2 linked regions of the Ovis aries genome follow. The protein of the gene in region 1 interacts with the protein of each later gene in a pairwise test. Links are inferred from orthologs where the notes say so. Each region holds a gene or a part of one and is shown on either strand. Other genes may lie near its edges.

Region 1 (7,887 bases):
GCTTGATGAAGTAAACAGCTGCGGATCTTGTCCCCGACCCCGTCCCCCATGTACCCCGCAAGGCTAGGCCTTTCTCCAGCAGAGAGTTCCTGCCCACTGCTCCCCTACTGGCTTCTCACCTTTTCCACTGAGGGATCCACGACCACTTGCTGCCAAGTCAACACACGTCTTCTGATTAGTACACAAGGGAGCGGCCATCCGAGCACACAGGAGCCTCACCAGCCAATGAGCGCTCGCCCCTTCTCAAACCCTAACCAACCCCAACACCTTCAGACCCCAGAGTTTCTCTGGGGTTCAGTTTCACCTCCAAAGTTGCTCTAAGTTCTTGATATCCCTGAAGAAAGAGCCATGGAGTTCCCAGTGTCAGCATTCTTCACTTAACCACTTGTTCCAAGGGAACTGCAGGAATCTGGGCTGAAATGAGACTCTCCTGCCAGCTCCCCTCCTACAAGCCAGTGGGAACCATCAGCGAAGACACACAACCTCCCCTCTACTCCTGGTTTATGTAGTGGTGTGGACTGGACTCCAGCTGCCATGCGAGGCCCTCAGCCGTACCTGATCCCAAACCAACACACCACCCAAGGCCCAAGAGGAACACAACCTCACGTCACCAAAGAGGAGGGTTCCAGGGCAGGTCTGAGAAATCACCGCAACAGAATTAGAGGGGTGGGTGCTATTGTGGGGAAGCTCTGGCCATGAGCCTGCCGACAGCACCAGGCCCCCCTCATAAGCCCCAGCACAGTTCCAGAAGCCAAACTAAAGTGTGGTCAAAGGGCGTGTCTTTGTGGAGGGATGGATGGATGGATGTTTGGATGGGTAGATGGACAGGTGCATGAGTGGGCAACAGGTGGGTAAGTGGATGGATGGGTGGGTAGGTGATGGGTGGGTAGTTGGATGGATAAATGAGTGGATGGATGGGTGGGTGGGTGATAGGTGGGAAGCTAGATGGATGAATGGGTAGGTGGGTGAATAGATGGGTGGGTGGGTGGTTAGGTAGGCAGGTAAATGGGGTGGGTGGGTGGATGGACAAATAAGTGGGTGGAAGGGGTACGAGGGTTGGTGGGAAGGGGTCAAGATGGTAAGATCTGAGAAATCTTAATTCAGATATGAAGTAGAAATACTTCAGAGAAAAGGAAAACTCTCCACCCATGTCAACAACCCCCTCTCAAACATTCCTGCGGTGGACATTACAGTCTTCCATTTATCCATAAAACTGCTAATAGGAGTACGTCAGCCATTCATCTCAGCCCTTCCCAGCCTGCACTTGTTTCCTGCAGGATATTTTCCAGGCCTGAGTTTGCTCCCTGTTTAGAATTCATATTAAAGGCAGAGCCTAAGGAGTTTGCAGGAAGGTCTCCTATGGAGCTGATGCTATCTGTTGCTATTAACTTTATTAATGAGGCAGCTTTTGGTAGTTTATTTTTTTCTCCCTTTCCCCTCTGCAGCCATCTCTCTGAGATGTAGAAGAGCTTTAACCCACTTTCTTTCCTTACCCGCCTCCGTCTCAGCTTTTCTCTGCCTCTGGCTCACACCGAGATCCAAAAAAGTCCCTGTGTGTGTGTGCTCACAAGGCAGAGCTGTTTCTCCAGGTAACCACCGGATTCCTGATAATACCACTCAGCCCTGCTATTAGCAATCTGCATTTTCTCGGCAGCTCAGCTACAATATTGGCCAGATTTTTTTTTTTTTTTTGTCTTTTCATAAGACTTCAGATGTTGAAATAAGAAAAAGCATTTTTGAAAGTTAACATTTGAACATTAATTAGGAAACGGGAGATTCAGGGTTTGTAGAGCCTTACATTTATATGACGTATGGGAGGTGAGAGGCAGAGAGTGTCTTCCTTATTAAAAAAAAAAAAAATCCACAATTACAAATGCAAACTTCTGTGGCCAGGAGAGCACGCTGCCAGTGTCCCTCCCGGGGGCTTGGATGGAGCCAGAGTAAGGGCCCCTGAAGCTTAACATTCATTAGCTTCCCCGTCAAGGCGCCTCTGCTGGGAGACACAAAAGGCTAGAGAGGTTAATACGGCAGCATTAAAATCTCCAGAAAACCGCTAAGCAGAACTGTCGTCTCTTACATCGGTCCTCTGGACGCTGTTCTTATCTCTCTTTCACAAACCTCCATCCCTGCTGTTCCCTCTAATTTGGCAGCAGCGATTCATTATGAAAGCGCCTGTGCTGGGCTGGGCTTGTACATCCTTTCCCTGTTTGGGCTTCTCCCATCCAGCACTGTGTCAATTATGTAATAGCCAAAACAGGGAGTTTCACAGAATACGAAAAGCATAGTCGCAGCTCTTACATAAGCCTTCACAAACCACCCATAAGATCCACCCCTAGACTGCAATATTGGGAAATTACATAAGGTAGAAAGAAAACACTGATTCAGCAGCCAAGTTTATTTCCAAACTTAAAGACAATAAAAGCTTTTTTGCACTTTTTTGGCTAGTCTGTATTCACTTAATGAGTGTTGAATGTGATAGAAAGAATGATCTTTCAATAAATCTTGACCGTCTTTCCATGTAAACAGAAAGGAGTATCTTGACACCACGACTCAACGTCACTGTCACTTCTGCACAGAGAGATGTCCCACTTCCCAACTTAGTCAACAGGGGACCATGTATCCCGATAAACATCAACTACTGGGGGACTTCCCTGGTGGCTCAGTGGTAAAGAACCCAGCTGCCAACGCAGGAGACGCAGGTTGGATCCCTGAGTTGGGAAGATCCCCTGGAGGAGGAAATGGCAACCCACTCCAGTATTCTTGCTTGGGAAATCCCATGGACAGAGGAGTCTGGCGGGCTGCAGTCCATGCAGTTGCACAGAGTCAGACATGATTTAGCAACTAAACAACAATATCAACTACTCCTTGTGGATTTTTTAAAAATCAAGAAGATATTTTGACAAAATACAGACGTGAACATGCTATAATTCTTCAACATATCTCCCTTCCTATACCATTTTTCTCTCCCCATATTTCTAACCACTTGTTTTTTACTTTCTTTAAACCACTGTAGCCACACCTTGGGCTACAAAGTGACAAATTAGAAGAAACAGTGCTATCCTATGGGTCTCACCTCAGCTACAGATTGGAATCACTAGGGAGTTTTTAACATTCCAAATATCACAGCATCACCAAAACCCAATTAGAACAGAACACTGAGGTGCCGGTCACAAAAGGAAGTGCCCAGACATCAGTATACTTGATATTCCTACTTCTGTCTTCTTCCCTGAAAAAAAAAAATATCCATAAACACAAGTAGAGATATTAAAGGTTATCTAAATCTTTAATAACTGGCAGCTCATAATTACTGAGTTTCCATCAGCTATAAAAAATAAAATAAGTCACTAGTTTAAAAGCCACAAAGAATATCTGTGGGATCTTTTTTATTACTATCAATACGTGGTTCAAGAATTTTCACCAAGTCTCTCAAGAGCCTTTACAAAACTGTTCTATTTTTTTAACGTTTTACAATTTTACCTAATGAGTTCAAAGAAAGGGCCCTATGTTATCTTTAAGGCTATCTCCAGCTAAGACCATGTTCATCTTCCAGGAAAGTTTAGGTTTAAAGCAGAAATTGTGGCTCTGACTTCTCTTCACCCTCTCTTCAGAGATGCTCTGGTAATTCCTTTTATAACTTTACCAATGAGCAAATATTTTTTTAAAAAGCACTTATATAACAGAGAGTACAGGCGCCTTTGGTACCCTGCCAAGAGTACTTCTTTCCGTGTTTGTATTTAAAATAGAATGGTAGTAACATCACTTGTGCGCCTGAAATTCCTTCTGTGCACAGGCTCAGAATGAAAAAAAAAGAGAAAAAAAATGGATGTAGCAAACCGCTTCGCTGCTTTACCATTACACAGCTCAAAGGAAATAACACATTCATACTAAATTAAGACGAAGAGGCAGAACAAATTATCCAAAGCTGGGGGTGTTGTTGGGGTGGGGGTGGGGGATAGAGAGGTAGGGATTCGGTTGAACCAACCTACCAGCCCTTCGAAAACAGAGGATGTTTAACCTGACAGCATGCGAAGGTGCCGGAGGAGCTGCAAAAAAAACCTCAGCCGGAGCAGGTGATGCAGGCAAGAAAGAACAAGCGCTCGGATGGCAGAAAAGCCCAAATCAACCCCGCGCCGCCCAGCGCCCCCGCGGCGGGCGCTCCCCGGCTCCGCGCAGGGTCCGAGAGCGCCGGCCCCGGGGCCCCGCCAGACCCGGCCGGACGGGACAGAGGAGATTCCGCTCACCTGGGTGGGAAATAGCCTCGGGAGGTGCCCAGGAAGCCACGCTGCCCTGATGGAGAGGCTCATTGCGGACTGGCTTCCCGCACGCCTCCTCCGCCTCCAGCTCGAGTTTTCCTCTTTGGCGACAGGTCTAGACCCGGCCAAGCGGCCGCGCAGGTCCGCAGACGTGGGTGGGGGGGCCACAAACTTGCGGGGAGAAGCCGGCGGCGGCGGCGGCGCGGGCGGAGGAGGCAGGGGCGCCCCCCGCGCGCGGTCCCCGCCGCCGCCCGCCCACGCCCGCTCGCGCCCCGCGCTCACCCCGCGCCGGCACCGCCCAGGCTCGGAGCGCGGGGAAGGCGGGGTAGCGCGGACCCGGAGGCTGAAGCCCCCCAACGGATGCAGCGGCCGCCCCTCCGGCCGCCTTGCCGGGACAAAGAGAAGCGGCGGAGCGGGATGGGAGGGGGGTGCGGCGAAGCGCGGGCCTCGGAGCGCGCCGCGCAACCCGCGCGCCTGGCCGGAGAGGTGCGGGCGGCGGGGACCGCGCGGGCGGGCGGGCGGAGAGGCGCGCTCCCCGTCCGGGCCTCCCCGAGATGCACACGCCGGGACCCGCGCCCCGCAGCCCCGCAGCCCCGCCGGGGAGGCCGCAGCGCCCTCTGCCGGCCCCGGGGCCGCCGTGCGCGCGGCGTCCTGCTCCGGCTCCGCGCCGCCACGGCCCCCCGACGTCCCGGCGCCCCCGGGGGCAGGGGGCTTCGAGGAGGGGGGGGGGGGGGGTCTGCTCTTCTCCCCTGGGAACAGCTTCCAGTATGAGCTGCAGCAGGAATTGGGACCCAGCACGAGAAACGTGGAGGGCACTGGGACTCCTGATGCAGGAGGGGCCCCAAGTTGACCTCTGGAAAGGTTTGCGAAAAATGCAAGCGTTTCTTTCGAGAATCGGGTTTATCTGTGTCTAATAAACACCAAAGGCGGCTAACACTGGTCGAGGGGGTGCCAGAGAGCCTCTCGGGAATAAATATGTTGATTTATTTCTCAAATAAGTGCTCCCGGCTTCCCTAAGCAGTTCGTGCGGCAGGCTTCAAGAGGTGAGCCAGGTCAGAGAACTTCCGCTGCCTCGGGTTCAAATGTCAGTGGGATAAGCCTTTGCCTTTATAAAAATGAAATGTGGGTGCTTGTCCCCGCCCTAATTAGAAGTGTTTTCTTGGTGGCTCAGTTGGTAAAGAGTCTGCCTGCAATGGGGGAGACCTGGGTTCGATCCCTGGGTCAAGAAGATCCCCTGGAGAACGGAATGGCCACCCACTTAACTATTCTTGCCTAGAGAATTCCAGGGATCTAGGAGCCTGGCAGGCTACAGTCCATGGGATAACAAAGAATTGTACAGGACTGAGCGACTAACACTTTGACTTTCAACTTTTTAGGGGTCTTTGTCCTAACTACCACATTAAGCAGTATTTTACACCAGTTAATATTTGAAGCACCGCCAAACGGTACAGTACTTTTTTCCACACCGTCTTTTAAAATTATTCTAACAGATCTCCTGTCTCCTCGGGAAGAATCTAGGGCAGACTTCATAGCTTTTCCTGTCACTCTCAGCTGTTAATAAACAGTCTGATTCTCTGGTATTAAAAAGTCCAGTACAATCCAAGTCAAAACTGTGGTCTCACTGCACCTGAGCCTGCCTGCCTCCTGCCTCTCCTGCCAGCCCCTAGCTCCCAGTGGGCCCAAAGCTCACAACCTGCCTGGGGAAGGGAAAGGCCGTTTTCTTCTTTGTTCTACCCCTTCCCCTGGCTTCGTGCAGACTGGCTGCTCCAGGATGGCTTGGTGGGGAGCCTGTCCTGGTCCTGGCTTCCAGGTGAGCTTCTCACTGATCCTGCAACTCTGCAGGCATCACGTGTCCAAGCAGGTGGGCCCAGCCGCCTTCCACCCTGTCCATCCAGGTCACGGCCACAGCCGCACACCCTCCTCATTTCCTGGTCACAGGCAGCTTTGACTAGCCTGGCTCTTTGAAGCTTACCATGTAGGAGTCAGGACTTTCTGAGTTCATACATGTCCCCAAACCCCAGCTGATCCCTGCCAACCTTCCCAGGTAGTTCTCCAGACCCCTTTCTTTGCATGAAGTGACTGGTCTGCGCCCTCTCCCTCAGAGCACCCTATAATTCTTGCTGCCAACCTTCTCTCTAATCACTCTCTCCTCTACCTAAATCTCAGTTGAACACAGCAGAACCCTTACTCAGCAAAACCTACAAAGCTATCCCAAGGCCTTTCTTTTAAATGTGGAGACACCTCTCTCTGTGGTGGCCATAGACATGTGCTTCTCACATTTTGAGAGTAACTGATGATGTCACATCTTCAGGTCCGTGGTGGTACTCACCCCTGGGTCACGCCTCACCCTGGCAGTTCCTCCATGCTGGGAGCGCTGGGGTTGGGCCGTTTCTGCCTCATGCAGGACCCATCTACGGGGCAGCCTTAGTTCAGGAACCCCTCTTCATCCTGCCAAGGCTTTCTCAGAACTGCCCCCTGTCTGTAAGTTTGCAACATCTGGTTATTTATATTCAGTCTGACAACCACCATCTTTTCATTTGTAAATATGCTTCATTTAATTACTAAATAACTAGTTTTTAATTATAACCATTATTTTTATAAAGAAAACTGAGTGCCAAAGAATTGATGCTTTTGAACTGTGGTGTTGGAGAAGACTCTTGAGAGTCCCTTGGACTGCAAGGAGATCCAACCAGTCCTTCCTAAAGGAAATCAGTCCTGAATATTCATTGGAAGGACTGATGCTAAAGCTGAAACTCCAATACTTTGGCCACCTGATGCAAAGAACCGACTCATTGGAAAAGACCCTGATGCTGGGAAGGAGAGGAGGCAGGAGGAGAAGGGGGCAACAGAATGAGATGGTTGGATGACATCACCAGCTCAATGGACATGAGTTTGAGTAAACTCTGGGAGTTGGTGATGGATAGGGAGGCCTGGCGTGCTGCAGTCCATGGGGTCGCAAAGAGTCAGACATGACTTAGCAACTGAACTGAACTGAACTGAACCTCTGCTATTTAACTGTGAACTTTCTACTGGTCTTTTTTTTTTTTCAGTATCTTTTCTGCTTCCCTTCGATTGATTAAGGGAAGTTTTCCATTGTTTTATATTTCCTGTTATAAGAATTATACATTCTATTTTTTTCTTCCAGTAATTATTCTTAAGCTTATAATATGAATAGGTAACTGGAAATTCTAAATTTTTATATATCTGTGCTTCTCTTGAACAGTAAAGGGCTTTTGAACTCTTCAATTATCATTTCTCCATCTTACATGACATCATGCAACATTTTAGTTGAATTTTTTCCTCTGAAAATTAGAAGTGTTATTATTATTTTACAGTCAGTTTTTGCTTATTCTTCATTCTTGACTCTCACATCTTCTGGGATCAGTTTCCTTTTTTCTGGAATACATCTGGAATGTATTTCCTTTTTCTGTGTGAATGCCTTTTGCTGATAAATACTTTTGCAGTTTGGCTCCCTAAAGAAGAAAAAGTATAGTCTCTCATTTGTGTCTGACTCTTTGCAGCCCCATGGACTGTAGCCCGCCAGGCTCCTCTGTCAGTAGAATTCTCTAGGCAATACTGGAGTGGATTGCCATTCCCTTCTCCAAGGGATCTTCCAGACCCAGGAAACAAACCT
Region 2 (7,922 bases), on another chromosome or scaffold:
TTCCTTAACAGTTTTGCCCAACTTGAGAGCAAACCAAGAACAAAAGCAGGGATTTCTGGCTGCAAAAAACAGCTCTGCAGCATTTGCTTTCCTTTCCTTCCTGCCTCTGGATCTAAAGGCTGAAGCACAGGTGAGAAGCAGGGCTAACAAGTGCATGGCTCACACCACGCCCTGTGTTCAGAGATCCCAGCACTGGGAGCCTCTGCAAGGAAGCTTCCTGGGGGCTGCATGGTCAGGCTGTCTATGGAGCTGCTCCAAGTTGCAGCTTCCATCCCTCATGTGTGGAAATGGTACACCTAGCTCTTGATCCCTACTCCTCTCCATCTCCTCCAGCACCTCACCATCTTTTCTCTTCTCTGTGCCCTCTGTCTTAATAAAGTTTTCTCTGGGCATTATCTTCAGATTTCTAAAATTTAACCCCTTCTCTGCTTTATCCTATAAATTTTTAAACTTGGATTCTCATTTCATATTCATAAAATTTTAGTACTACATATAATGTACACTATTTTATCATCTTTACACACTATCACTGGCTATTCATAACCAGTCTTGAACTGAGGAAGGGTCATTATATATAAAGTATAGCTGATAGTCTGAGGAGCGGCCAAGGTTTTGTGAATGAGAGTTTTTTGTTTTCCAAATCTCGTTTTTAAGAAATCATATCCTATATATAACTCTATAGGTGAGGTCAAATTCTCCTTTTCCTCTTTTAATGAAATTGAAACTATTTTCACTATCATTCTAAGAAAAAACATATGATAACTTTTAAAATAGATATTAAGCATGCTTGTTTCCTCAGTTAAATGGGTGCGTGCACACTCAATTGTGTCCGACTCTTTGGGACCCCATGGATTGTAGCTCCCCATGTTCTTCTGTCCAAGGATTTATAAACTCCTTTAGACGGGACTAAGTCTACTTTAATGGTTTCTGACCAATGAGTGATAAAGATACAGGCTAATGTTTACTTCAAATCTGCTGTATGTCAGGTACTATTCTAAGAGCTATAAATTAACTCATTCTTCATGATGCAGTTCTATTAACTCCATTTTACAGATGAGAAAACTCAGGCGTGGAATGGTTAAGTAATCTGCATGAGTTACAAAGCTTGGAAGTAGTTAATGATAAATGGAAATAAACATGGCAGGAATCTTCATTTCTTTCACTATTTCCTGAGCAGCTAACCAACTTCCTCTACAAAGGCTCACATTCTCTACAGATATCTCAAAAGTAAACAATAGTAAATCAAAAAAATGAGAACTGAATGGTTCTCACTGGTCCAGATCCATGAAGTCCACAATTTCCAGTATAATTTCTAGTTCATTTGTTAGCTTGCAATACTTTTCCTTGCTTTTAGAAATACTTAAACTAATTGTGTCCAAAAATAAACCTGACTAGATACTGTTCAACTATTTTAACCTTTATAATTAGCTTCTTGTTACCAAAAGTATTGTTTGCAGATACTATTAATATATGATGCTCATGTACAAGTCTTTCTGCCACAGAGAAGATTGTGTATAAAACACAAAGAGAGAAAATTAAACTCAGATTTCTTTTTTGATGAACTCTATTGGCGTATGAGAATTTCCAAACCTACGTTAGCCCCTTAGCAAATGAATTTCACAAAAGTAAAAAAAAATACATACCTTTGAACTTCTCTGTATCCCTGTAGGGATGTGATGAAAACATAAATAATCTGTGGTCATGGACAATTAGAAACTGAAAGTGAGTTCTGCTTCTACATATAAAGAAAGAATAAAATAAAAAATCACCCATAATCCCATTATTCAAAAATCACTATTCAACATTTCAGCACATCTATCTTCAGTCTTTTTTTTTTTTTTCAATTTTTTTTAAACAAAACACATAGGCTATAGCTGAGTTTGCTTTTTTGTCATCACTGTTGTTGTTTATAGTATATCTTTGTCTTTTGCTTGAACTATTTATTCAAGAAGTTTGTCCCCTCATTCCCAGGATTAAAGTGCTACTGTCTCCCTACCCTTCTGTATTCATCTTCTTCAAGGGCAATTCAAATTATTGACAGAAAAATCATTTTAGCTATTCTGCTGTTTCCTATTTGGAAGATAAATTCTTCAATTAAAGTTAAAGATTAACAAAGCCCCTAGGTGATTAGCTCCCAACATTTCCAAAGGTGACTTAGCTCTTCTCAGTTGGTAATTCTTACAGATGATGGCTAAAGGTATGCACAATGAAAGGGTCAAATTGAAGTTCTCTGAACCTCTGCTCTCCATTTCTGTTAACAGCCTTCCTGGTGTTAGAGATCTGTTTAATGATCAATAGTTGTTTCTCTTCCTACCACTGAGTGTTTCAGAAAGTAGCATAACCAAGTCAATGTTTAACTGGATTCTTTGGGTCTGAAATGGCCAAGTAGGAGTTGAAGGGAAGTCTCCATAGAAACCAACCTCCCAGGAAGTGGCCAAAGGGTTAGTGTGAAGTGAAATAAAGCTACGCAGATGTCATGAAGGGAAGAAATACTTTGGAGCTGGGCTAACTTCAGAAGTTCCTTGATTAAAATAAGCCACTTTAAAGGCCCCAAACCACTAACCTCATGGTTTTACAGAGTGTCTTTAATGTGAAATGGGCCTGAGTCACTCTAAGTCTCACCCAAGGGTGACCAAGGTAGTACCTTTGCAAAACAAAGAGGAAGAGACTCCCTTGGGTGGCCCTGTGGATTTTGCATTCACTCAGAATCTGGAAGAAAACAGTTTATACTCATTTGCAAGACTGCAGGACCAGAATAAAGCTTTAGAAGGGCAGTTGCCACCTCTACGAGAGACCTGGTATGGAAGATATTCTGAAGGTAAATGTAAAACCCAGCAAGAAATTTGTGGGTGTGGGCAAAGGAGAGCTACTGATAGATTAATCTGTCTACCTCTATAATCCATGAAGTTTCTTAATTGTTGAAATATAAAGGGACATTTGTCAACAGGAGATAATGTTTGTCTATTTTAAGTATTCTGGGCACGTTAGAATAGGTGTGCGAACTGGGAACTAAGGGCTTTTCATCATTCCACACGAGAAGGAAATAATCATTTGGGGTCAGCTTGGTTTATAGTCCTTTTGATATTTATACCTAGCTTTGCCAGGCAATTAAAATTCTTTTCCAATAGACCTTAGATGTGACAAATACTGTTTCATTCCACTTAAATGAGATGACTATGAGAATAGTCAAATTTATAGTCAGAAAGTACATTGGTAGATGCTAGGGGCCAGGGGGAGAGGTGGGAATGGGGAATTAGTGTTTAATGGGGACAGACTTTCAGTTTAGGAAAGTGAAAAATTTGGGAGATGGATGATGGTGAGAGTTGCACAATAATGTGAATGTACTGAGCTGCATAAATATGGTTTGTATAAATACAGTTAAATATGATTAAAAGAGAATGTTTTATATTATGTGACTTTTACCACAATAAATAAAACAAATTCCATAGATAAAAATGTGATGATTATGATACTCATGCATTTCAGTTGGATTTTAAATGTAAATCAATCTCTCCAGTATCATTTCATGCATCAGGCTTTGTTGTTTTGAAAGCAGTACTAAAGAAATGAATCCATTCTGATGCGCATTTGGAAACCACTCCAAACTGAACTCATTTATTGCAGTACAGATGAGTGGATGGGGCACCCTCTCCCCAGCCCCTGATTCTTCATGATCATTTGCAGAACTAAGAGAATTTTTCCCATTATGATTGGAAGATCCAAGCCAGAAGGGGCTATAAATTTTCCTGTGGCATTTTACAAGATATAAAATATTTTATGACAATCATGATGATACATAAACAGATGATACTTAGACATTCTAATCAGGGAAGAGATACATGCGTATATACATACGTGATATATATACACACATATGTACATTATTTTTTTTCTTCACATTCTGTACTATTATCACAAGTAAGTTCCCATTATTGGCCAGAATATATATATTTTGTGTGTATGTGTGTGTGTATATATATACATGCATTCCTTTTTAGTGCCTAGTAAGTCTTAGATCTAGATCTGGTACCTAGATCTAGAATGATCTTCATGGCTACTTTCTATAGAACTGATAACCTTTGACTGGTTCCATATAGCCTTTTCTTGTTGTTGTTGTTCAACTTTCTAAGCATGTTAGTAGGACTATTCCTCTTAGTCTCACTGAATAATTCATTTTTTATCTAAACCTTCCATCTAGAGTTTTAAGATTTTGATAACCAAAGGGCAAAAGCTGATTCTAATGTGCTAGAGTCTAACTGGGAAATGTTCTTATTTTTGAAATTGCAAAATCACATTAAAAATAAATAACACTGGGATGGTAAGCATTCTGAACACCTTCTTCGAGAGACCCACATTCTAACCCCAGCTTCACCAAATACCAAATAGTATGACTTTAGGCAAGCTGTTTCATCAATTTTCTTCACCTGTTTATCAAAGGTAAAAGCACACATGCCTATACCACTTCAGCAGAAGCAAATTAAATAATAGGGTGATATTACCCAAATCATGGCATAAAAATAAGGTGTAGTCACATTGCTGAAATATATTTTGCTGAAAATATTTACATTTTTAAATCCAACATGTTTTGGGTCTTGCTTGATATCCTGAAATTCTTGAAAGAAAGGAAGGTCATAGAGATATTCTTCAGGTGATCATTCAAAGGTTTTAAGGATAGAAACACACAATTACCCAGGAATTTTTCCATTTAAAATGCAAAGTGGGACTACGGGATAGTCTGCACAACAATCTCAAAGTCAGAATGCATCCAGATTGTTATGAGGAAAGGACAAGGAGGTCATTCACGTAGCATTGGTTATGGTAGCGGTCCCAAGGGCCCAGGCTAATCAAGCTGAAAAATGAAATCCACATGGATCTCTTGAGCTTCTCTGTTTCCTAATGAGCTTCTCTGGATCTTTAACACTGTAGCCCTGGGTTATTTCATCAAGAAGAATATTGATATGTTGTGTTAGAGTGGCAACTTGTGGGAATTCATTTCCCTACTTGCAGTGGGGGAATGGATTATTTAATTGGAAACATTCAATGATAAGCATTCCATATTCCTATTACACACTCAAGTTCCATTTCTTCATCACCTCTCTAATACCTATCCATCTATTAATCTATTTTACCTGAAAAGAGAACTTATTTTCACTTCTTAAAGTTATGTTTTTTTCTGATTTCTATTTACTTGGGAAGGATTTCATAAAATTAAAACAAATCAGTAAGTTTCTATTTTCCAAGCCAAATGCTATGTCTGAATAACATTTCTAGTCAATACATTGTTAATTGTGCAATTATTCCTCTAAATATTAATCAGGGAGGAAATGAGGAAAGCAGAAATTAAATCCTGAGTCTAGGCTAATATTTTATCATTTGCCATTATGTGGGGCCCCTGCTTTACGTCTTTCATCTTCACATTCAACCTATTGGTTAGATATACAGAACTGAAGATACAAAATGGTGTTAACAAAGTCTAACAACTAATAATCAATTTAATGTCATAGGAAATTGCTTTTAATGGTTTGTTTTTGTTTCTCTCCAACCCTTCAAGGGCCAAGGGCCATGTATTTTGACTTCCCACTGGAACAGCAAGAAACAAGTATTATTAAAAGGCATCCACCCCGAAGACTTCAAGTAAGATGCATTTAAAAGGCTTCATAAGGAATTTCTTGGATTTAATGGTAATATCCCTTTTTAACTATAATCATATAAGAGGGATATTGACAATGACTATGCTAATGAGAATGACGGTGTTATTAAAGAGAATGCTGTCAATGCAAACCACATTTCTTTAGGATTTCCTTTTGTAATGATTTCACTTTTAAGACCACCACCAAAGGAAGCAGGTATAGTACCAAAGATATAGGAATGAAGGGACACAAAGGATCTGAATCTTGCACTGATTAATTGAATGACTGTAGGGCAATCATGGTGACATATAACAGTAACAACTACTATAACTAATTACCACCTATACAAGTCTGTTACACTCTAAGCAACAATGATCTTTGTCATTCATTTAATTTTCATACCCCTCAATGAGAAAGGAAGGATTATCCTTGTTTTATACATGTGCTTCAGGGAGTTAAGTAACTTGCCCAAGGACAGAAGGGGCCACATATCAACCAGGCCTCCAAAGCCTGTGCTCTTAAACACTGGCATAGATGATCTCTACAGTCCTTCTATCCTTAACCTTTCATCATTCAAAATATTTAGTTAATGGAATTGAGAACACTGAATTTAAGGCTTCCTACGTGGCACTAGCTGGAGAAGACAATGGCAACCCACTCCAGTACTCTTGCCTGGAGAATCCCATGGACGGAGGAGCCTGGTAGGCTGCAGTCCATGGAGTCTTGAAGAGTTGGACACGACTGAGCGACTTCACTTTCACTTTTCACTTTCGTGCATTGGAGAAGGAAATGGCAACGCACTCCAGTGTTCTTGCCTGGAGAATCCCAGGGATGGCGGAGCCTGGTGGGCTGCCATCTATGGGGTCACCCGGAGTCGGACACGACTGAAGTAACTTAGCAGCAGCAGCAGGTGGCACTAGTGGTAAGAACCTGCCTGCCAATGCAGGAGATGTAAGAGACATAGGTTAGATCCCTGGGTCCAAAAGATCCTCTGGAGGAGGGCATGGCAACCCACCCCAGTATTCTTGCCTGGAGAATCCCATGGACAGAGGAAGCTGGCAGGCTATAGTCCATAGGGTCACAAAGAGTCAAACAAGACTGAAGTGACTTTAACACACTGATTTCAAGGCAGCAAAGCAGGAGTTTTAAATGCATTCACCTTAATAAATATTTAATGAATTCCCTGTAGAGACCTATAAATTTTAAGAACCCTCATCCTAGAAGGGGAAAGAGATCCGTCTGAATGGGTCCTCTGAAGTGAGCATCAGCTAAAAGGAGGGTTTGGAGCTCTCTTGTGAGCAGGATCTATCACTGATATTTGAAAAATGGAATTGGAATCAAACCCCACCTGCTACACAACTCAGTCAGGTCTCTGGACTAATCCTAGGGGTATCTGAGCTCATTTTGGGGGGATATTTCTATTTAAGTTGGTTTTTATTTACCTGTCTTCTCCAGAAGTTCACAATCATTATTTGAGTGATTATATCTTTTGGATACCAAAAAAGGAGGATCTTTTCCCAAAATATTAGAAACCATAAAATATTGTTTAGTCAATGTAAAATAAAGTGCAATTCTATCAAGTTAATATATAATTTTTAACATTTTGGGCATATCTCTACCTAAAGTGGCAATTTTAAAATTTATATTTTGTTTCTAAATCATTATAAATCAAAGGCCTCCTTTCAAAGGAGCTCATTTTATATGTTTCTGTGAAGCCTCTAAGCTGAATAACTCAAAAAGATTATTACTATAAACAGTGAAAAATATTTGTGTAGGAGTTTGTAGTTCACAGAGTCCTTTTTTATATCTATCAACCGTAAATAAGCGAAAGTCAGGCTTTGACTTTCTCAAGTCAGTGAAACTCAAAAAGAGAAATTTGGTATTTCAGAGTCAAAGACTGCATCCCCATATCCCAACCAACCACCTTAACAATGAAGAATCAAAACAAATTATTTGACCATACAAACTACATTCAGTCTTATATCTTAAGTCACTAACACAGTATGTATCCCTTGAAAGTTTATGAATAAATGAATTAATGGACAGATGAATGAATGAAACCCATTATCCTGATCAGACTTCCCAGGTGGCATTAGTGGTGAAGAACCTGCCTATGAATGCAGGAGATGTTAAGAGATGAGTGTTCAGCCCCTAGGCTGGGAAGATGCCCTGGAGATGGAAATGCAACCCACTCCAGTATTCTTCTCTGGAGAGCCCCAGGGACAGTCTATAGTGCATGGGGTTGCAAAGAGTCAGATACAACTGGAATTAGCACACACAGCACATCCCTAC

The links.
Region 2: the proteins of MTUS2 (region 1) and CCDC198 interact in binary tests that used the Homo sapiens proteins (3 or more experiments, as listed by UniProt). The two-hybrid records come from large-scale screens. The link is inferred for Ovis aries from reciprocal best matches to the Homo sapiens genes MTUS2 and CCDC198.

What each region holds. Positions count from the first base shown.
Region 1 is NC_056063.1:31,672,667-31,680,553, forward strand, and holds the start of MTUS2 (microtubule-associated tumor suppressor candidate 2), read right to left. Parts: upstream 4,399-7,887; 5' UTR 4,242-4,398; intron 3,227-4,241; exon of another isoform or gene 3,074-3,226; intron 1-3,073. UniProt on the Homo sapiens protein: Binds microtubules. Together with MAPRE1 may target the microtubule depolymerase KIF2C to the plus-end of microtubules. May regulate the dynamics of microtubules at their growing distal tip.
Region 2 is NC_056060.1:67,895,787-67,903,708, reverse strand, and holds the start of CCDC198 (uncharacterized protein CCDC198), read left to right. Parts: upstream 1-2,454; 5' UTR 2,455-2,595; coding exon 2,596-2,818; intron 2,819-5,551; coding exon 5,552-5,634; exon of another isoform or gene 5,635-5,639; coding exon of another isoform or gene 5,640-5,681; intron 5,682-7,922. UniProt on the Homo sapiens protein: May be involved in tuning the metabolism, energy expenditure, and excretion processes.